Linked DNA regions of Rhinolophus ferrumequinum. The protein of the gene in region 3 interacts with the protein of the main gene of each other region in a pairwise test. Links are inferred from orthologs where the notes say so. Each region holds a gene or a part of one and is shown on either strand. Other genes may lie near its edges. The genes, in order: MOB3B, NUDT18 and NT5C2.

Region 1 (7,248 bases), on a different chromosome or scaffold from region 3:
AACTTGGAGCCCTAGGCGAAGTCAGAACTCCTCGTTCATTCTGGAGGGAGCCACTTCACCATTATTTTAGCCAAAGGTTTGAGGCTTCCTAGGTTATTTCCGTCATCATTGTCTTTAAGGCGACTCGCCTGCCATTCAGCCCTTGGAAACTCGCAGACCTCAGAACCTCGGCTTTCTGCCTGCCAGAAGTGCCCTGATCCCATCCCGCTGTCTGGCAGCGGCCCAGCCACAGCGGAGACTGAAGTCCCCTGGAACCCACCGACAGACACCCTGGAATAGGGTGGAACCATGCTTCCACTCTCTCGAAATTAGCGCCCCTTTCGGATCTGCGCCTTTTGCGGTGCGTGTGGCATATGATCTGAGAAATGCGCCCTGGGCCACAGGCAGCCGAGGAGGCGGGGAAGAAACAACATTCCCTCCGCCCTCTAACCGCAAGGCCCGGGTGCGGCGGCCTCGCTGGGGTCGAGATCCCGGGCCGGAGCTGGTCCGGTGGCTGGCGTGGGGGGCTGGGGAGGAAGACGCTAGGGGCTTCCTTCTCTCTCTGAGCCCCGCCAGATGTTGGAAAGGCACACAATAGGGGAAACGCGAAGAAACAAAAAGCTATTCGCCTGGATCTTAACAGGCTCTGTCGCGTGGTCTCTACGGGGAGGGCATCAGGGAGGGGGTCAGGAAGGTGGGTGAAGAAGGACCCTGGGGAGTTTGGGGTATCTGATACTTAATTGCCAGGCGCCAGGCGCCAGGGGTCAGCCCTTTACCCTTACGAGAGGGGTCCAAAGGCAGGGAGGAGCAATCAAAGGAAAGTTAAAGGGTTTGCACCATCTTCCTCAGTAGAGGGAAGGGAGGGGCTGGGATGTTTGACAGTTGTTGGCCCGGGGTTCAGCAGGATTTGTGCGTCCTTTACACACCCTATCCCTCCACGAAGCATCGACAGTTCAGGGGGCGACTTGGCCGACGTAGCGGAGGGGACTTCACAATCCCAAACCGAACTTTCTCCTTCAAGATCAATACGCCCTAAACGTTATCCCCCTGCCCAGGCGCACTTTTGTAAAAGTTTGTTTTCCCGCCACCCACAGCCCAACACGCACCCTGCAGTCATCTGCGATTCGGGCTGGGTTCGGGGACAGACTTGTGCCCCGAAGGAAGACGGATTTTGTTGATATGTGTTTTAAAATCAGGGCCCGGCAGCCGGGAGGCGGCCGGTGGGGGGGGGGGGCGGGGGAGACCCGACTCTGGTTCCTGCCCGGGAAGGCTGCGCGGTGAGCCGGCCAGAAGCCAAGCCGCGGGCAAGGGTCTGAAGCCGATTCCAGCCCCGGAAGCACGTGGAGGGCGGGCGGGGAAGCGGGATCCGCCACCCCAGTCCCTCTGTGCATCTGCCCCCAGGTGCGTCCAACACCTCTGCCCGCCTGGGCACGACCCGGAGCGAGCAGCTGCCAGGCTGCGCCACCTCCCTCGCTTGGAGCGGGATCTCACTCACCGTGGGGTTTTACCTTCAGCCTGGGGCCCTGTCGGCTTCCTGCGCCGGGTCAGCTGCAGCGAGCGCGAGAGGAAGAGGGTGAGCTCGGGTAGGAGGGGCGACTCTTATGGATCCACGCGAGGGGCTCCGGGCCCAAGGAGCGCGCGGGCGAGCGAGCGCGGGGCTCCAGCTGCAGCCGCGGTGGCTCCAAAGTAGCCCCCACAAGCACTCAACGCGCGGCAGCCGCGCGGGGGTGCAGAGCCGGGACCTCCTGGCGGCCGCTTACGGAATGGCAGTTCCGTGGAGAAGAGAAGTCAGGTCGCCTTTGGGTCATCTTTCCTTGGGAAAAAGGTGTGGAATGGACAGTCTACTGGGGCTCTCAACCATAAGGAAAAGACCTTGACCCTCTGGCCAGGGCGGCAAGGAAGATATCGGATCAGAAAGGGTGCGTTCTGGGTCCACAAGCAGCTAAGGGACCTAGAGAGGGGGAAATCCCGTATCTTCTCCAAGATTTTCTGACGTTGAAAAATGCCATGGACCGCCTGATGGAGGAGGAGCATTAATCAATAGAAAATAACTTTGAGATTCTGCCAGGTTTATCATAATGAGCTAGGAGTAATGAAATGAGCACGGACTTTGAGGCCCAATCTACAGCCTGCCACTTTCTACTTGTGTGTTCTTGGTCTATACGCCTCAGTATTTGCCTCTTAAATTTGACAGAACAATATCTACCTTGCAGGGTGGTTGTAAGGGGTAAACTAAACATAGAAAGTGTCCGTAGTTCACAGTAGAAGTTATTAAATATTAAGCTTCCTGAAGAAAAGAACGAGTCTTCCATATCTTTTTATTCCCCCATCTGATTGCATCTTAATGTATATTGATTGAGGAGTACCACATAACTAAGCGTTTCGTTTTATAATTCTTCTTACACATTTTAAAGAGGTATGGAAGTATATTAAGTAGAAATTAGGATATATGGAGAAAACACGCTCCCCCAAAAGTGGTTTCCACAGCTAGTAGAAGAGAACCTCTAAAACCATATATATCTTTCGCAATATCAAGGTATTTCTGATATTGCAAGAACTATTCAATAAATAGTCATGGTCTAATGCTATCAACCCTGGAGTAAATGATTCGATTTAATTCTGTATCACTTAGGCAACACAAACGTATTGGAGATTGTGAATATGAAATTCAAACATGAGGGGAAAAAAACAAATACAAAAATGCAGCCACGAAGCAATGTCTCTCTGCTCATCACTGAGTAATGCAATCGCATTTCCAAACTGCCTCAAGCCCCAGTCGCTGCTTTTAAAGCTTCTTGTGATCTTTTGGCCTCGTGGCAGCCAGACAGCTCTTCATCATCCAGAACAATTAGGATGGCAGGGTCTCTCTTTATTTTTAACAAGGCATTTACTGCACGTATTATTTCTTTTGGCTAGAGCTATAATAACTAGAATAAAATTTATCTATGAAGCTTTTATCTACTACAAATGCATTTGCCAGGTCTTCAATATTCTTCAAGCCTTCATATTCATATTCTATTGCTGTTGTGTTTTCCTAATTCTGAGATACAAGTTTTCTCCGTCCCAGGTAGCTTCATCTGTAACAATACTTATCTTACAAGACCATTTTAGATGAAAGGAGATAATACATGGGAAGTTGATGCAAATACATACAAGAATTTAGCAATGGGGAAAAAGAAATGATTTAACAAATGGTGTTGAAACAATTGTATAGTATTCTGGAAAAAATTAAATATAACCTTAAACTTACATAAATTTCAGATGGTTTAAATATTTAATTATATATGTATATATATATGTGTGTGTGTGTGTGTGTGTATATACATATATATGTAAAATAAAACCATAAAATACTAAAACAAAACATAGGTGCCACCTTGCAAAGGAAGTGTCTCTAAATCGCTCTAGCTTAATAGTACGTCTCTCTCCGTTACTGGTCCCTAACTGTGAGGAGGCTGTTTGTTGCCTGCCCAAGAATTCTCATTACATGATCTTTTTGGTCCTGTCAAGAAGAGAGGGAAACAAATAAGGTTTCTTGTCTCAGCAACTAAGGCAGAGCATTGAGATGTAACTTCTGTCTTGGAGATAGGGCACATCCCGCAAGGTGCAGACGAGCAGGGCTTGCACAGAGTGAAAAGGGCAGTTGATTCTAATCAAAAAATGTTAGTGGAACTGTCACAGCCTCTCTACTCGGTTTCAGCCTTGCCTGTAGGGAAAGAGGACTTTCAACACACTGCCATGCCTGTAGGGGCTCCTTCCCTGGGGAGGAATGGTAAATCTGGTGATTGGGAGGGATTTCAGTGTGTCCGGTATAACTTTCACCAGTCAATCAGTGGGGTACCAGATTAAAGCTACCCCAGCTCTCACCCAGCTTTTCTCCCTGTGACTGGTGGCTGAGGAGGATGGCTCAACTTTCAGAATCTGCTAGGAAGAGCCAGCATTCAAGAATCAAGCTCTCCGTGGTTCTCCTGTGTCATAGCCTGCGCAGACTACTATAACAAAACACCACAGATTGAGTGGCTTATAAACAGAAATTTATTTCTCACAGTTCTGGAGGCTGAGAAGTCCAAGATCAAGGCACCAGCAGATTCAGTGTTTGGCGAGGGCTCATTTCCTCATAGACCTCTTTTTGCTGTGTTCTCACATAGCAGAAGGGGGCAAGGAAGCTTTCTCAGCTCATTTATACAAGCCCTAATCCCATTTATAAGGGCTCTACCCTCATGACCTCTGAATACCACCACCCTGGGAGTTAGGATTCAACAAACAAATGTTGGGAGGACACAAACATTCTACCTGTAGCATCCTGGGCTACATCTCATGCTGAAATGCAGCTTTTATCAGAGCCCTGCAAGGGTATTGTATGGCAAACTGACTTCATCATGGATTGAATAGATACTGTTCCCCACTGGCTATTACTCCTTATGTGGATGCTTCTTTGCTTCTGTGGGAAAACAATCTGAAGGGACAGAATGGGAGGAGGGGAGGATTCAGGTACCCAAGTTCACCCAAACTGACCTGATCTCCCACCTCAGACATGTGCCAGCTGCTGTCTTCCCCCTCTCCAACCTTTTAGTTATTTAAGGCCCCAAATCATGGAATCATGTTTTACTTTTCTCCTTTTCTACTCCACCTCTTATCTATCAGCAAATCTTGTTTTTGCCTTCAAAAGATATCCAAGAGCAGACCTCTTTCCACCACCTCCACAGTTGCATCCTGGTCCAAGCCACAAATTCCTGCAGCCCGGGTTACTGCAATAGCCTCCTAACTGGTCCCTCTGTTTCCCCGCCCCCGCTCTCTGTATGTTCTAGTCTCAAGACGGTAGCCAGGGCAATTCCGTTGAAACGTATGCCACATTATATCACTCGGCTACTCAAAATCCTCCTTGGGCTTCCTGTTTTACTCAGAGTAAAACCAACACAAACAGCACCTCTTTTATCTCCGACCTTGTCTCCTACTACTTTCGTCATCACGAATTCCACGGCATCCACACTGCCCTCTGTGGTTTCCAGAAATGCCAGTTAAGCTCCTACCGCTGGGCTTTCATACTCTTTGTGTCCTCTGCCAGGAAGACTCTTTCCTCAGATACTTCATAACTTTCTAGCTCACCTCCTTCAGTTCTTTGCTCAAAAGTCACCAGAGGCCTCCCTTTTCAACTCTATTTAAAATAGAGTTGCACCCTGTGCAATCACCACCCCCTTCCAACACTCCCTATCCACATTCCCTGCTCCAATTTTCTCCATAGAATGTACTGCCATCTGATATCCGATATATATACCGCCTTTCCATGGCTGCTGTAACACATTACCACAAACTTAGTGGCTTAAAACAATTCAAATTTATTATTTTATAGTTCTGAAGGTTAAAAGTCTCAGGTCTTGGGTGGCCGGATGGCTCAGTTGGTTAGAGCGGGCTCACAACAAGGTTCCGGTTTGATTCCCACCTGGGATGGTGGGCTGCGCCCCCTGTAACTAAGATTGAAAACAGCAACTGGACTTGAAGCTGAGCTGCGCCCTCCACAACTAGATTGAAGGACAATGACTTGGAGCTGATGGGCTCTGGAGAAAAACACTGTTCCCCAATATTCCCCAATAAAATAAAATAAAATAAAATAAAGGTCTCATTGGGCTAAAATCAAGGTGTCCCCAGGATTGAATTCCTTTTGAAGTCTATAGAAGAGAATCAGTTTCCTTGTTTTTATCAGCGTCTAGAGGCCACCTGCATTCCTTAGTTTGTGGTCCCCTTTCTCCATCTTCAAAACCAGCAACACCCAGGTTGAGTCTTTCTCATATTGCATCACTCTGGCCTTTCTGCTTCCCTTTGTACTAATAAGGGCCCTTGTGATTATATTGAGGCCATCAGAATAATCCCGGATTATCTCCCTATGTTAAGGTTAGCTGATTAGCACCCTTAAATTCCACCGACAACCTAATCCCCCTTTGCCACATAACATTCACAGGTCATGGGGATAAGACACGGACATCTTTGGGGGGGGCATTATTCTGTCTACCACACACTCCCTTACTCTTTCCGCTAGAATATAAATTCCATGAGACAGGGATTTTTGTCTGTTTGGCTTATTTCTTTATCCCTAGACTATCTCAATAAATGTACAGGCACGTGCTATGGCCCGGAGTGTGTCCCCCTCCTCCAAATCCATGTGCTGAAGCCCTAACGCTCAATGTGATGGCATTTGGGGAGGAGATTTGCGTTACATGGGCTGATTGGGGGGCGGGCCTCAATGATAAGATTAGGGGGTTTACAAAAGGAAAAAAGAAAACAGAGAGCTCTGTCTTTGCTTCCATGTGGGGACATAGCGAGAAGGTGGCCGTCTACAAGCCAAGAAGAGAATCCTTAAAAGGAACCAAACCGACAGCCACGGTGACCTGAGACTTCCCAGCCTCCAGAACTGTGAGAAGTAAATGTTACTGAGTAAGCCACCCAGTCTATGTTTTGTTTTTTTTTAATAACAGCCTGTGCAGACTAATATAGCACTCAATAAATATTTATTGATTAATTAATTAATGAAGAGACTTCACCATAGATACTGTAAATACTGAACATCTATTGTGTACCTATAATGTGCTTCCTAAGCACTTTACAGGGAACATCTCATTGCATTCTCACAAGATCTTTCTGTGGCTGGTACAGGTGAGAAAATCATAGACTAGAAAGTTGAAGTAACTTGCTCACAGTCATGCACCTGATACATTGTGCAAGCAGGTTTGAGACTTGGCAGAGTGATGGAAGCTGGTGGTCTATCCCTCACCGTCCCCTGCCACTAGCATGTGGCAGTGGGCAACCCTGGATTTTGTCCTCAAGATGCTTATAATCTAACAAGAATGACAAATACACAAATAACAATAATATAAAAAAGACTATGGGAGGCAGTGTAGAAAAGGCCAACACATTGCTGTGGAGCATAGATATGGGCAAGGTTAAGTTTGGATGAAATCGATTACGGGGAGCTTCAGGGAGACTGTGGCATTTGAGCTGGAGTGAAAGATGGTGGACATCGGTGGAGTTCGAAAGATTGTTTCAGATAGAACCACAGGAGTAAAGATACAGGAAGGTAGAAAAGAGCGAGATGTGTCCTGGGAATCAAGATTAATATAGCTGGTATGAGGACTAGGCGTGCAGTTAGATAGCTGGGATCCCAAATGCTAGGCTAGAGATCAAAGGAAATTTAATAATTTTTGTTAACAGTTATTAATGGAGGAAAATTACCTGAGGCGGTTGTCAAAGTAATGTCTGAAGCTGTAACTCAAAAGG
Region 2 (7,309 bases), on a different chromosome or scaffold from region 3:
TGGAGCTGTCGAAAGGCAGAGGCAGGAGCCTGGCAGAGTGGCACAGAAGGGGTCAGAGAGCTCCAAGAGAAGGAAACCCAGGCGACGGAAGCTCTCACAGCTCCTTGCCCACCTGGAGCTTCCCTGGTGTTCTCACTGCTCAAACCTTGATGGGGATACGGTCACTTCCTACCGTGGCAGGCAAGAGGAAGAGGGCCCCAGTGGGCCCAACACAAGCCGTGGAGGACACAGACAGCAGGAAACCTGCCTGCTTCAGTCACCCCTTACCCGGCAGACTGGCCCCTACAGCGTCAGCTTGCTGTCTAAGATGGCGTGGGTGGCTGTCAGTGGTACAAGGGGAGGAACTTCTCCTCTGAGGGCAGTCCCCCCTTCCTGCTCACTTCCTCCCCACAGAGACATTTAGGTGGGAAGGTAAAGTAAGCAACACCTATTTATTCAGCAAGGGGACCATTTCCTTGGAGTGACCTCCCACAGCACCCCATGTTCTAAGTGCCTGAGAATCTGAATTTAGGCCTTTACCAAAGGAGGAGTAGGCGTGGAAAATGATAAGATGCCATCTCAGGTTCAGAAAGTTCTTGCATCCCCTTAGGGAGCGGTGCCCTCATACCTCTGGGCAACTGGGTTCTTGAGCTCTGGACTCCTTGCTTGGTAAAAGGCACTGTCCCTTTTGGTACAATGGAGGGACCTGCTCCACAGCGAGGGGCGATGGAAGTCCCCCTGAGCAGGAGAACTGCCCTGCTCCCAATGTGAAAAGATCCCTGATTGCTAACCTGCCTTCCTCAGAAGGAGGCAAAACCGCGGTGGAGGGAGCACAGGCACCCACCTCCTTGCTCACTGATGGCACCTTCCTATCTATTGAGGGGGACGACAGATGATTCCTGAAGCCTCTGTAAGAGCTGGCTTTGTAGGTCTTCCTCCATCACTTTCCACCAAAAGAAGTTCTCACCCTGAACCTTCGGGGGCTCATTTTGGATACCTGGGTTCCGAAAAGCCACTGTCACCAGAACATTGAGGCAGATGCCATCTGTATGGTCTTTGCCCAGGTGCTGCAGTCCAAGCAACCCCTTGGTCTCCACTGTCAAGTGGTGCAGGGTCAGACACTCCTGCAAGAGCCGCAGGATGGCCATCTTGAGTCCACCCCTCTGCTCCACAGGGGTAAAGCCACAGGCCGAGATGGGCAAGTGAGGTACCCCCCCTTTGCCCACCAACACCCACACTGTCTGGACACTGGTAAAGGTGGCCACAAGCCGCTGGCAGACCACAGTGCAGGGAAGCTCTTGGGGCAGAACAAGAGGGTGCCTGGCCTGCCGGCAGTACTGGGCGGCCAGCTCCACCAGGGGCAGAATGTCAAGGGCTCGCAGCGGAGTGGGCAGGGAGGTTCGTGGGTACCAGCCAGCCTGCAGGGACTCCGCATCTGCCTCCTTGGAAGTCTTGAGAACTCCACCTGGGGGAGCGGTGGGGGACAGGGTGGGGGAAAGGGTCCGTGTTGAGAGAAGTGCCGGGCCTGGCAGAGTTGATAGCCACCCAGGCATTCTAGCTCTGACCCTCAGACTGAAATATGGAGATGCCAGGCTTGTACCAGCCACAAAAGGGGCTCATCTCACGGGAGGTCAAGCTGGGGGAAAGGTGTCGATTGCCCCATGCCCACAGTGCCACCAGGTGGGCTGTACCTGTTGGGCGAGCGAGGAACACGAAGCGGATCCAGGAGGGGCCCCTCTCCTCCACAGACAGCAATGTCAGAGGCTCACAGTGCAGCCCGGCCTCCTCCTTCATCTCCCGCTGTAAAGCCTCCACGATGGTCTCCCTGGGCTCCATCCTCCCCGCGGGTAGGTACCATGACCCGTGGCATTCTTTCTTGGCCTCCTGGATCAGTAGCACCTCATCCTGAGGGGAGAGAGAGGATCCTCACCCCCACACAGCCAGGCTGGAAGCCTGTGTTCCAAAGGAGGAACACAGCCGGAAGCCTTCCTGTGCCTTGGGGACAGAAATCTCAAACACAGTCGCCCGGTACCCCCTTACTGGTGGACACCTTCAACCTCTTGAGCTCTCCTGGGGACTGGCTCTTCTGTGGCTGCCAGTTGCAGATGCCCCTCTCTGCAATTCATCCTTTTGCATTTGGACTTCCATTTCAGAAAGCGGCTAAGATTCCCGGGAGTTGCTTCAAGGACAGGGAATCAGGCCCCACAAGGGGAGGTGCCATGTGTCCTGCACTGTCTGCATATGTCACTGTCTCTCTCACCTCCCCTCATGGTTTAAAAACTGCTTGTGGCCCGTCCTCACACTGAAGTCTGCGGTTGAAACATGCCCCCACCCCACACACTATACAACTCCTACCTATGGTCCCGGTCCCTTCTAACTGTTGTTACAGCAATTTGTACAAGGATCAGCACCAAAAAGAGCATCACACAGGGGTGAGTGGGTCTGAGCGTAAGCGCAAGTTGTGCCATTACTGTCCGTGGAATTCAGGGGAGGTCTCTGCAGCACTGGACAGATCTTTATGAGAGTCCACTCCGCGGCGGCGGACGCTATACTAAATTCTGGGGAAAGGAAGAGGAATAAAACAATCCCCCCTCAAGGAACTGAGGCCTAGTGGGATGAGACAAAGGCTCCTGGCCTCGGTTTCCTCCTCTGTTCGTCGGACAATCGTAGGGCTGGGCCGCACAAGGCTCAGGTGTCAGTGTGAAGTGAAAGTGCTTTGCAAAACTGGAACGCGCCACCCACCAAGAAGCGGTGGCTGCTGCCGGTAGGTCGTCTGTCCCCACGGGGCTGGCTGCGCGCTCCGGGACCCGGGCGGAGAGCCGGCGGGCGGACGCTCACCTGCTCGTTGAGGCACACGGCCAGCACCACGTAGCAGACGTTCCTCCGCAGCCGCACGGGCGCCGGCGGCTCCTCGGCCGGCTCCGAGTCACAACTCTGCACACACAGTCCCCGGCCCCCCAGCACCGCTGCCAGCTCCACCGCCAGGTCTTCCGAGGCCATCCAGTCCCTTGGGAGGCGGCGGCCGTGCCCCGCAGACCCGCCGAGTCGGGTGGGGTGCAAGGCGGTGCAGCCGGTGGTGCGTCACCCTGGCCCTCGTCCCCTCCCCCGCCGACTCGCGCCGGGCGTGCTCGCGAACGAGGAAGCGCCGGCCAAGTCCCAGCCACTGATAGGCTGCGCGTCCCCGCGGCCTGCCCGGATTGGCTGGCTCGCGCTGGTCACCGCGTCGTGCGGCCCCGCCCGCTTCGGCTTCTCTAAGGGTTCCTTCCTCTTCGCCCTCTCCCGGCACCTCTAGCCGCCAGCCTTGCTGATTTCTCCATCGCGCGCAAGTCCGCACCGGTTTCGAACGGGTACGTCATCCTGCCTGCAGGCTGCGGAGAGCCACAGTGGCCAGCGACGGTAGCATCACAACAACACCGATAACGTCACGGAGGCCCGGGGCGAGGCCGGGACCCACTGTCCAGCTTTGGTCATAAACATACCACTGCTTTGCCCGAAACGATCACTTCCCCCCAATAACCCCCGTTTTCACTAAAAATGTACTGAATGTCACCGTAGTGGGGGGAAGGGAGGAAGAGAGCTCTTGCCTTGAAGGAGATTCTGATCTAGTTGGGAACGTAGACATAGACATGTTTAAAAAAACAGTCAACTCAGTGTTATAAGACAAGTGCTAAATGATTGGTTTGGGCCGGAGGTGTGACGGTGCTCAGAGCAGGGAGAGAGCAGAACTGGGATGGCCAAGGTGCGCCTGATGACGGGAGGAGGGGAGCTGGGGCAGAGAGAGGGCCGGGGATAGGCAGGCAGAGCCCTCACCAGTGTCCCGACCCACTGCCCACGCCATTTCCCACATAGTTGCAGGGCCCTCTCCGTGCAGACTGAGCCGTGCTCCTTCACCTTTGTTGCCCCCCCACCCAGCTGGCTCAGGCAGCCCCATTGAGAGTAGGGTGTGGGTGTTGGCTAGCTCCTGCTTCTCTCCCAGCTTGACCTTTCCTCCTCAGAGGTTCCTTTAACCTCCTCTCAGGACAGGACGGCAGGGCCAGCTGGAGTGAAACTGTGAAGCCAGCCAAGTCGGGGCTCCTCATCCTCAGTTAGGTCTTCCCTTTTCCTCCTGCTGGCTTAGTGCACCTGAGGGGACAGTGGCTTGTTGGATCAGACGAAGCATTGGACTTGGAGCCAGATACCAGGCCTCTGCTTACTGGCTGGCTCTGTGTCCCTGGAAAAGGTGTGGGCCTCAGTTTCCTCATCTGTAGAATAGGCTCACAACAACTGTTCCTTCACACTGTTGGGAAGGTGAGACGCCATGGGAGGAGCTCCGTGGGCAATCCAGCATAGGTCACCATCACCAGGCAGCCCACCAACCCCCTTGCTGGGCTCTCCTACTACCACACAAAGGCCCACATTCATGAAATGTGCCCCCAGGCCACCTCGGAACTAGCTTTTACTAAGGAATTCCAGCTGCACCAGATGGCCTCTGTAGGCCCTTCTCACAAACTGAAGTGCCTGTGAATTCCCTGGAGGTAGGGCCCTATATTAGTCTGTGGGGGATCCCCAGTGGGCCTGCAATCTTTTGAGGCACTTGGTGAATACTGCTGCCCTCCAGCCCTAAACATCTCACCTCCCAAACAACTGAATGACGGGACCGAGAGTCGGGACTCCAGGACTGCAGAGCAACTTGTCAACGTAGTTGGTGTGTGTGTGTGTGTGTGTGTGTGTGTGTGTTTATCCTCCGGTTTTCCCATCTGTGAAGTGGGAACAGTATGGGTCTCAGACTCCTTTTTGCCTCCCGGGGATGATTTGAGAGAGAATGAGGTCATGTCTGGGCAGGGCTCTGAAAGCCTCAGAGGCAGCCTAAGATAAACACCAGACGGCCTGACTGCCTGGAACAGCAAAGACTGCAACAAACCCTGGCTCCACTCCCCCCATTATCACTGGGAAAAGCACTCCTGTGAAGTGGACCTAATCACCTTGTGGTGAGAAGCACATGAGGCAACGTGAAAGTCGCTTGTAAACTGTGAAGGGCGGCATAGGCAAGGCCCTCGAGGGGGTGTACCAGCCCTTCCGGAGAGCGGAGGGAGACAACAGGAAATACACTTTTTCAAGGCTTTGGGAGAAGGAGAGCACACATTAGACTGAGGCAGGAGAGGCCCTGAGACAGAATGGGAAAAGCGGAGGCAGGGAGGGGGTGCTGAGATAGAAACCGACAGAACCAGAAACAAAGAAAGGTCTCCATCCAGTTTGCTCTGCGCCCTCTATTCCCAGAGAGGGAAGAGCACTGACTGGTGGGGGTGGTGGGCAAGAGTGTCACACAGTACAGGACCCACAGGAGCGAAGGCTGAGCCAGCCAACTCAGGGCATGTAGACCTGAGTGTGCTTGTAAGCACGTGCACAGGAAGGTGATGGAGGCAACCTCGGAAACAGGGACAGGGATGGGCGGGAAGGGTGGGGCAAGGGTGTCTGTGACGCTAGATTCATTCACAGAGCAGCCAGCCCTGTCCCTTGTCAAAGTGGGAAGGGCAAGGAGGACAGTAGCCCCAGGTATAGGGAGGAGGAAGCTTCAGCCTGCATTCTGCCACTGGCTTGCTGAATGACCTTGGGGGAGCCACATCTATCGTCTAGGCCATCTGTATGATGCAGGCTCAGGTGCATCCTGAAACAGAACAGACATTAGTGGAAAACTGGTGGAATTCTGTGGGGACTGAGTCCCAGAGAGCAGTTTCCTGCTCTTGACCTCATGTGGAAAGGTGCTGGCTCAGATAGTAGACGGCCATCAGCTGTGATCAGATGGCCATCAGCTGTTACCGGTTAGCCATTGGCCACTGATATAACTGCCGTGGCTAAGCTGGTTGATTGGTTGGTTGACAGAGAAGCAGACGGCAGGTTGCGGATCGTGTGGCTCCTGCTTCCTGTGCCTCCAACCCAGCTGCCAGCGAGAATATAGTGGTATGACGCCCCTATCTATGGCTCCGTTGTTCCTTTTTGGCCTCACCATATCCCGCGTTCTTGTGCGGGGAGCAGGAGCTGAGACCCTGCGTGACAAATCCCAATAAAGTCTATTGCTTAGTTAATAGTGTTGTATCGAAATTAATTTCTTAGTTTTGATTATGTACCGTGTCAACATGAGAGGAAGCTGGATGAAGAGTAACTGGAAACTGTCCTATCTTTGTGACTCAACTGTAAATCTACAGTCGTTTCAAAATTAAAAATCTAAAATAGTGTACTTTATAAGAAAAACTTGGCATTTGGTCTACACACCTGAGGTCATTTCCAGCTTTGAGGGCTGTGCCTCTGTGCCGACTGGGCCAGTGAGAGGGGCTGGAGGAGGTTGCTGGGAGCAGCAGAGGCCAAAAGGGCAGGGCTAGACTGAGAGGGGAGCCCGCTGAGCCACCTTGGGGAAGAGGGCCACTGAATGCTTCACGCTGAGTCTCTGGACCGGTCCCCACCTGGACTGGCTTCATCCCTGGTCCAGTCCTGGGACATTTGGCCCACCTGTGTTTGCAAGGAGTCAGACCCACTATGTCCTTGGAGAGTGCCGTGACCTACCACGGAAGGGGAGGTGACAGAGAGGTCTGTGGGGGAAGAAACAGGCCTAGTGACAGGGCCATCCCCATCTTCCCACAGGAAAGACTCCGTGTTTGGGGTCCTGGGGTGACATCAGGACACAGCTATGTAAGGTGAAGTGTAGGTAGACATGGGTCACTCATTGCTACTTGGAACATGATGAGCTCTAACGTGCTTATGTTGGAAGGAGGACAGAGACGACAGTAAGCCCATCTGCAAAGGCCATTGAGTGCTAAGACTATAATGTAAATGAGGCAGCCGGAGTCAGGACACTTCGTTCAAATCCCAATTCTGCCACTAAATTGCAGTGTGACCTTGGGTAACTCCCTTATCCCTAGCCTGTTTCCTCTTCTATATAATGGAAATAAATAATATCTACATAAAAATTGTGGTAAGGGATGAAATGAGATCAGTTAAATGAAAACTGACACCATAAAGTGTGGCAGTTCCTTAATTTTTTTTCTATCCCATGAAAAAATGAAAACCCAGCTTTGCAAACAATGAAGAAACAACTTTTTTTTTTTTTTAAATGAGGGACGATTATGTAAATCATGGCACAGCCACTTTGGGGAATGTAAGCAGCTGTTTAAAATGAAGGTTAGGTATCGACATAGAAAATGATCACAATAGTGTTAAAAGAAAGAAACCAAGTACAAAGCACACCAATTCAACTATGTGTAAAACAGACCCGTGGAGAAAATACTAGAAGGAAATACACCAAAATACTATCCGTGGTTGGGTTGGGGGGTGAGTGGTGGAGGGCTTAGAGGGGACT
Region 3 (6,946 bases):
GCTTAATAGTTACATCAGTTTGTTATGAAATACCTTTTTTCCTTTGCATAAACATGCACCAGAGAATTGTCATGGGGGTTAAAACTATGACCCGCTGGGCCAGTTGACTGTGAGTTTGTTCAGTAAATGTTTTCATTTGTGGATCAGTTGATTAAAGATTCTAGCATGCAGTTGTGGATCATAAGCTCCCATGTAAGCAATTACTAATTCACAATTATTAAGTTCAAAGCAAAAAAAAATTATTGAACAAAGTTTCTAAAGTTGGAAGAAACCTTAGAGATCTTCTTTATTTAACCCCATCTCTTTACAGATCAAGAAACACCACCCAGAGAGAGGCAAATTGGCCTCCCCACAATCACAATTTCATAAAATCTGAACTCAGCGCTTCTGACTCTGACGCCAATTGTTAACTTCTTTTTCACTGCTTAGCACTAATTTCAGAGACGATATTATAATTTTGTATTTTGTCATCTTCATTAATGTTCCTATGTCCAATGTATCATAAATATATGTATCTGACTCTTAGATTTTTACATTTTTAAAGTAGATAAAATCAGTTGCGTGCATTTCCTTGATTATTAAATCAAGGAAGATAGATCAAGGTAGATCTTGATTATTAAAATTATGTAGAAAACTCAATATATATTAAATTGTTTGGCACCTTGAAGCATAGCACTACCATAAATATATCTTTCTTTTCTTTCCCTGGTAGATTTGCGCCACTAAGTGATCAAAACAGAAAACTGTGGAGGCTATAAAACAAAGTAAATGGGTATATTGCTTACAGTGGGATGGACTGGAGCTTCTACTTTGCCAAGAGATGTGTGTTGTAAGCCCACATGTTTAATCTAGGTCACATTCTTGACCTTCCAGAGTATATGAAATATAAATATGCATTGGATTAAGCTGATGAAAAAGGATGGTTTCCACTGCATGAAGCTGTTGTTCAGCCCATTCAACAAAGACTTGAAATTGTTTTGGATGCTAAGAACACATAAAACCCCTTTGACCAAACCAAATTAAGAATATAGGAGTTATGAACGTTTCCAATGAATATAACAAGCAAAAAGAAAAAGCAGAATTAAAGATTTGGAATTTGGAAAGGGCAGTACCCATGTTTTAAACCCTCAGAGTACAAAAGTTAGCACTCTTCGGGAGGTTAAGGGTTCACTATTTGCATCCTTCTAAGAATGTGATACAGGTTAGCAGAAAGTGATAAAAAGTGATAAAAGTTTATATATGCAGAAAGTGATAAAAGTTTATATATATAGTGAGTTAATTAATTTGAATGTAAAGATTTTTGCTTTTGAAAGTTGGTTTTTAATTTTTCATCTTGAACTATCTCTTGATATAAGCTTTCAAGAGATTATTATATAGCACAAGTAGTACTTACAATGTTTGTCCCTATTATTACTTTTTTTTCATAATGTTAACATTAATAAATATTGTAGTAAATTTTTAAAAAGCTAGTGAGTGACCTACCATCAGGCAAATGTCACCAGACTACTTTAAAAACCAACTATTAATACAATAGTTAACTTTTAAAACATTCAATATCAAGTAACTATTTTCTTCAAAATATTAACTCTTCTAAAATACCAAAATGTTACCTAATTCTGACCTAGCTTTCTATACAGAGAAGAATGGAATCAGAATTGTTTTTTTGTCAGAATTATTTTAACTTATCTGTATAAACAAGTTTAGACATTTTTCCAGAAATATTTAAAAAATTTTAAAAGTAACATTCCCGGGCCGGCCCGTGGCTCAGGCGGTTAGAGCTCCATGCTCCTAACTCCGAAGGTTACCGGTTCGATTCCCACATTGGGCCAGTGGGCTCTCAACCACAAGGTTGTCAGTTCAATTCCTCAAGTCCCGCAAGGGATGGTGGACAGCGCCCCCTGCAACTAAGATTGAACGTGGCACCTTGAGCTGAGCTGCTGCTGAGCTCCGGGCTGGCTCAGTTGGATGGAGCGCGTCCTCTCAACCACAAGGTTGCCGGTTTGACTCCTGCAGGGGATGGTGGGCTGCGCCCCCTGCAACTAGTAACGGCAACTGGACCTGGAGCTGAGCTGCGCCCTCCACAACTAAGACTGAAAGGACAACAACTTGACTTGGAAAAAAAGTCCTGTTCCCCTTCCCCAATAAAATCTTAAAAAAAAAAAAAAAAAAAAAAAAAAGTAACATTTCCTCTTTCCTCTAGTCCCACAACAAATGAATAATTATGAGTTGTAGACTTCCTGGAGTTCCCATGCAACGTTTTAGCACTACCAACACACCACCACTTCTATTTATTCCTGACTTTCCTTAGAATGGGAGGCAGAGATAGTTCTAGTAGGAGCCAGATCTTTCTATCCTATAAATTTACAGGAAGTATAAACTTCTAACTTCTTCTAAAAACAAATGATTCCTAAATGCAGTACCTACTTCTAAGTATCTTAGCTACTTAAGATTTAGGTAGAAGCAGCCATTTAATTGAATCTATTAAAAATGGCAAACTGAAAATACATTTTGAATGTTTAATAAAGAAAAATGATTTAGAGAAAATTTTGAAGTCTTGTATCAATATAAGAAAATGTTGCTAATACCCAGAGTAACCCACATTCAATCTAACACACAGTAGCAAGTACATACAATTTTAAAAATCTATTTAAAGATTATAATCAATTTGTGGTAAATGTCAATTGAGAATTTCATTCTTATTAAGGTGCAATTTTGCAGCAGCTGAAAACTTTCTACTCTTAAGGGCTTTTATTAATAAGCAGCAGTGAGAAATTTTAAATAAAAGTCAGCAGCAGTATAATGTATGCGTGGTTAAAAGTCTGGACTTTGGACTGGGTTTGAACTATAAACTAACTATATGATCTAGGTAATTTGTCCTAACTTCTCTGTACATTAATTTCATCATCTATAAAATGAAGATGATACGTACTCACTTTACAGAGCTGTTTTGAAGATTAAATAGACAAAATACTCACCGATGATAGGCTTCTCGCCGATACTTTTTCAGAGCATGCTTGTCCATGTTAGCAGGCATATCTGCTGCATTTTGTAACCGATCACTCCAGGAGGTTGTCATTTTAATTGTACGTTGAATTCTAGAAAAGACAATCAGTACTGTAATTTAGCAGCTGAATATTGGTATCTGTATGCTGATATCTGATGTTTTTAAAAATTAGAAAAACTCTAGCTTGCCAATTGCCTGATATAATTATCTATTTAAATGTACTGAATACGATAAATTTATGGAAGATATACTGACACTTCTAAACTATGTGACTTTAGGAAAATAATTTCATATGACAACTTCTACCCAGAAAGATCATGTGTATCTCTTCCAAATAATTAAGCATAACTGCCAATAATAACTTTAATCCGGTTCTAGAAAAGAGACTGAGACCACAGATTTATGGAAATACATAATTTTCAGTTAACGTTTCAAAATGTGTAAAGTAAACAATTTTTAAATTCTGATCAACATATTAACCTTAATGAACAGTGGTACAAAAGTAAGTAATGTTTGCTTTCTATATATAATGCTTTTATACTTTTATATAAAATATTATCTTTCAGCCTTTCAGCTGGTATAAAAAACTATGGACTAGAATAAACTAAAACTCTTCATCTCGTTACAGTAAACATCGAAAAGGAGGCGAGCTGCTAAGTGTCTACCTGGAGTACCTGAACACTAGGCATTGTTCTAGGTTTCACTTCTATTTTTGAGGTTTCATCTGTAAATAGTTTTAAAGAAGGATTAAAAATATCCTTTTAGAGTTAAGAAATTTAACATTTTATTAAAATACCAATGTGAAAACATCTGCAACCTAACTTATTTCTAATTTTGAAAATGTTAACATCATTTATGACATTAAGTCAATTTTTAAATAAATCATCTTTGCAGCTTTTAAATAATTTACAGAGGCAAAATTAACATACACAAATTAATCATTTTAAAGTGCATAAGTCAGTGGCACTTAGTACATTCATAATGTTATGTAACCACCACCTCTATTAGTTTCAAAATATTTCCATCACTACAAAGTAAAACCCCTTACCCATTAAGTTCTCCCCATTATCCCCAATCCCCAGCCCCTGGCAACCACCAATCTAGGTTCTGCCTCTATGGATTTATCTATTCGGGAAATTTAATGTAAACAGAATCATACAATACGTAACCTTTTGCATTTGGCTTCTTTCACTTAGCATATTTTCAAGTTCCATCTATGTTGTACTACGCCTCACATACTTCATTCCTTTTAATGCCTGGATAATAACTATTCCTCTGTATGTATATACCACAATTTGTTATCCATTTATCTGCTGATGGACATTAAGATTATTTCCACTTTTCGCCTATTATAAATAGTGCTGCTATGAACCTATACATACAATGTACCAGTTTCCAATTCTTTTGGATATATATTAGGTTGGTGCCAAAGCAACTGCGGTTTTTGCAACTGTTTTTAACCTTTTAAATCACAATTACTTTTGCACCAACCTAATACTTAGGTCTGCAATAATTTTTAAGTAATCAAGATTTCCAAATACTTTATAGAATAAAAGCACTGGTACTTACAAAAGAGTCTAGTTAAAATCTTATTAAAGTATAAAATTAACTTGAGAGAAGTTATTTGCTGAACTATTACAATTTAGATATACTACGAGGGTTTTATTTTTTAAAAATTCATATAGCAAATCAAGATTATTTTGTGGACAAAAAAAGAAAATTTAAAAATAGAGAATTACAACGGAACTTCAATGATCTTCTTTTTCTTTTCTTTTTTTGGTGGAGGTGAGGACCAGCACTATATCTTACATAAATTTAAATAAGACTCAGAAATGAAATCTGTATTCTATGATGAATTAGGAGAGATCAGAATGCTATTAAAGGACTTCAACATCAGTTCTACTGCAATTATAGTACATACAATAAAGCGTAGGAAATAAAATTCATTTATTTATTGTTACACATTCTTAGGCACATTCAAATTTTCTAAAATCTCAAACAGTATTCACAAAAGTCTACCTCTTTTTACTTTTAAAAATTACGGACGTCTGCACAGGGTGAACTCTCTAATCTTATTCACATACTATTAGCACACATATGGATGAGGAAACCACCTGAGGCCTGAAAAAGAACCGGCCTAAAGGTATAAAGGAACAATCCCCGAAGCTCACACAGGCTGGGAATAGTTCCTGCCCAAAACAGCCAAAATGGAAAACCTCAACATTTACATAGTATTAGGTAAAACACTTGGGAGGGTTTTGTGACTGCAGTAGGGCAATATCATCTAAACTAAAAACTGCTCTAGTCCTGCCTACCGAAGCTTAAAAGCAAAACCTGAAAGGATCAAACTGCTTCCAAGTAATTTAACCATGTCAAAAAACAAAGCTCAAGAATATTCATAGGAATACAAAAATATCCAGCATCCAAGAAGGTAAAATTTATGTTTGGCATCCAATCAAAAATTAGCAGCATCCAAAGAAGCAGAAAATATGATCCAAAATGAGAAATAAATCCATAAATGTCACAGATGATAGAATTAACACTCAAGCATGTTATTATAATTGAATAAAATTCAATATATAATATGTAATTCAATTAATACATCATCTAATACACAATTTATAATTGAATATATTTCATGTGTCCCCAAAACTACAGAACTGAAAATGTTAAGTACAAGCATGAAAGATTAAAAAAAAAGACTCAAATCAAACATCTAAAAATGACAACCACAACATCTGACAAGAAAAATACGCTGGATGGGATCAACGGCAGATTAAAGATTAGTGAACCTGAAGACATAGCAATAGAAGCTAACCAAACTAAAATTTTAAAAAGACTAAAAAAACATTAACAGAGCACCAATGAGCTGTGCAATGGTTTCCAGCAGCTTAATATACATGTAATTGGAAGTCACAAAGGAAAAAAGAAAGAGAAGATGGAAAAAACTTGAAAGAAACAGTGGGTGAAATTTTCAAATTTAATGAAAATGATAAATCCACAAATCCAAGAAAACTAAGTGAACCCCAAGCACAAGAAACAAGGAAATTATACCAAGGCACATCAAAATCAAATTCCTTAAAAAGAATGATAAAGAGAAAATATTAACAAGCAGGTAGACACACAATGGAGTGTACAGATGTTATATTATAAAGCTGTATACCTGAAATTTATATAATGTTATTAACAAATGTTACCCCAATAAATTTATTAAAAAATCACAGGGTAAGGAAAATTCTTACTAAAAAAGTATTCAAATACTCAAGAAAAATTAAATAAAATATGAATTTCCAACTTAAAAAGGCTAGAAAAGATCTATAACGTAGAGAAGAAAAAAGCAGATTTCTCATCTGAAGCAGTGAAGCTAGAGGAAAGTGGAAAAACATCTTTAAAATACTAAAAGAAAAAAAGTGTCAACCTAGAATTCTTTACCTGGCAAAAATACCTTTCAGGAATAAAGATAAAATACTTTTTCAGACATACAAAAACTGAGACTTCATCACCAGTAGACTGAAAGAAATTTTAAAGGAAGTCATTCGAGCAAGAGGAAAATAATACCAGATGGAAATCAATCAATACAAAGAAATAGATAAACATAAAATATTTTTCCTACTATTAAATCTTTTAAAAAGATAACTTTGAAACAAAATAACCATGTATTGCGAGATTTATAACGTATGTAGAAATAAAATGTATGACAACACTAGCCCAAAAATGAGTAGGGACAAAATAGTAGTATTATAAGATTCTTACAGTTCACTAAAAACATCAACTAAACACAAAAGGTAGCAGTAATAGAGGAAATGAGAGATCAAAAAAATGGCATATAGAAAGCAAATAGCAAAATGGCAAAAATAACTCCTTTCTTATCAGTAATTACTTTAAATGTAAATGGTTTAAACTCTCCCATCAGAAGGCAGAGGTTGACAGAAAGGATTAAAA

Evidence for each region.
Region 1: the proteins of NT5C2 (region 3) and MOB3B interact in binary tests that used the Homo sapiens proteins (3 or more experiments, as listed by UniProt). The two-hybrid records come from large-scale screens. The link is inferred for Rhinolophus ferrumequinum from reciprocal best matches to the Homo sapiens genes NT5C2 and MOB3B.
Region 2: the proteins of NT5C2 (region 3) and NUDT18 interact in binary tests that used the Homo sapiens proteins (3 or more experiments, as listed by UniProt). The two-hybrid records come from large-scale screens. The link is inferred for Rhinolophus ferrumequinum from reciprocal best matches to the Homo sapiens genes NT5C2 and NUDT18.

What each region holds. Positions count from the first base shown.
Region 1 is NC_046295.1:13,774,357-13,781,604, reverse strand, and holds the start of MOB3B (MOB kinase activator 3B), read right to left. Parts: upstream 3,028-7,248; 5' UTR 1,488-3,027; exon of another isoform or gene 1,475-1,487; intron 1-1,474. UniProt on the Homo sapiens protein: Modulates LATS1 expression in the Hippo signaling pathway which plays a pivotal role in organ size control and tumor suppression by restricting proliferation and promoting apoptosis.
Region 2 is NC_046301.1:44,313,704-44,321,012, reverse strand, and holds the start of NUDT18 (8-oxo-dGDP phosphatase NUDT18), read right to left. Parts: upstream 3,095-7,309; 5' UTR 2,980-3,094; coding exon 2,722-2,979; intron 1,885-2,721; coding exon 1,671-1,884; intron 1,445-1,670; coding exon 849-1,444; 3' UTR 1-848. UniProt on the Homo sapiens protein: Mediates the hydrolysis of oxidized nucleoside diphosphate derivatives. Hydrolyzes 8-oxo-7,8-dihydroguanine (8-oxo-Gua)-containing deoxyribo- and ribonucleoside diphosphates to the monophosphates. Hydrolyzes 8-oxo-dGDP and 8-oxo-GDP with the same efficiencies.
Region 3 is NC_046299.1:22,023,235-22,030,180, reverse strand, and holds the start of NT5C2 (cytosolic purine 5'-nucleotidase), read right to left. Parts: upstream 3,077-6,946; coding exon 2,976-3,076; intron 1-2,975. UniProt on the Homo sapiens protein: Broad specificity cytosolic 5'-nucleotidase that catalyzes the dephosphorylation of 6-hydroxypurine nucleoside 5'-monophosphates.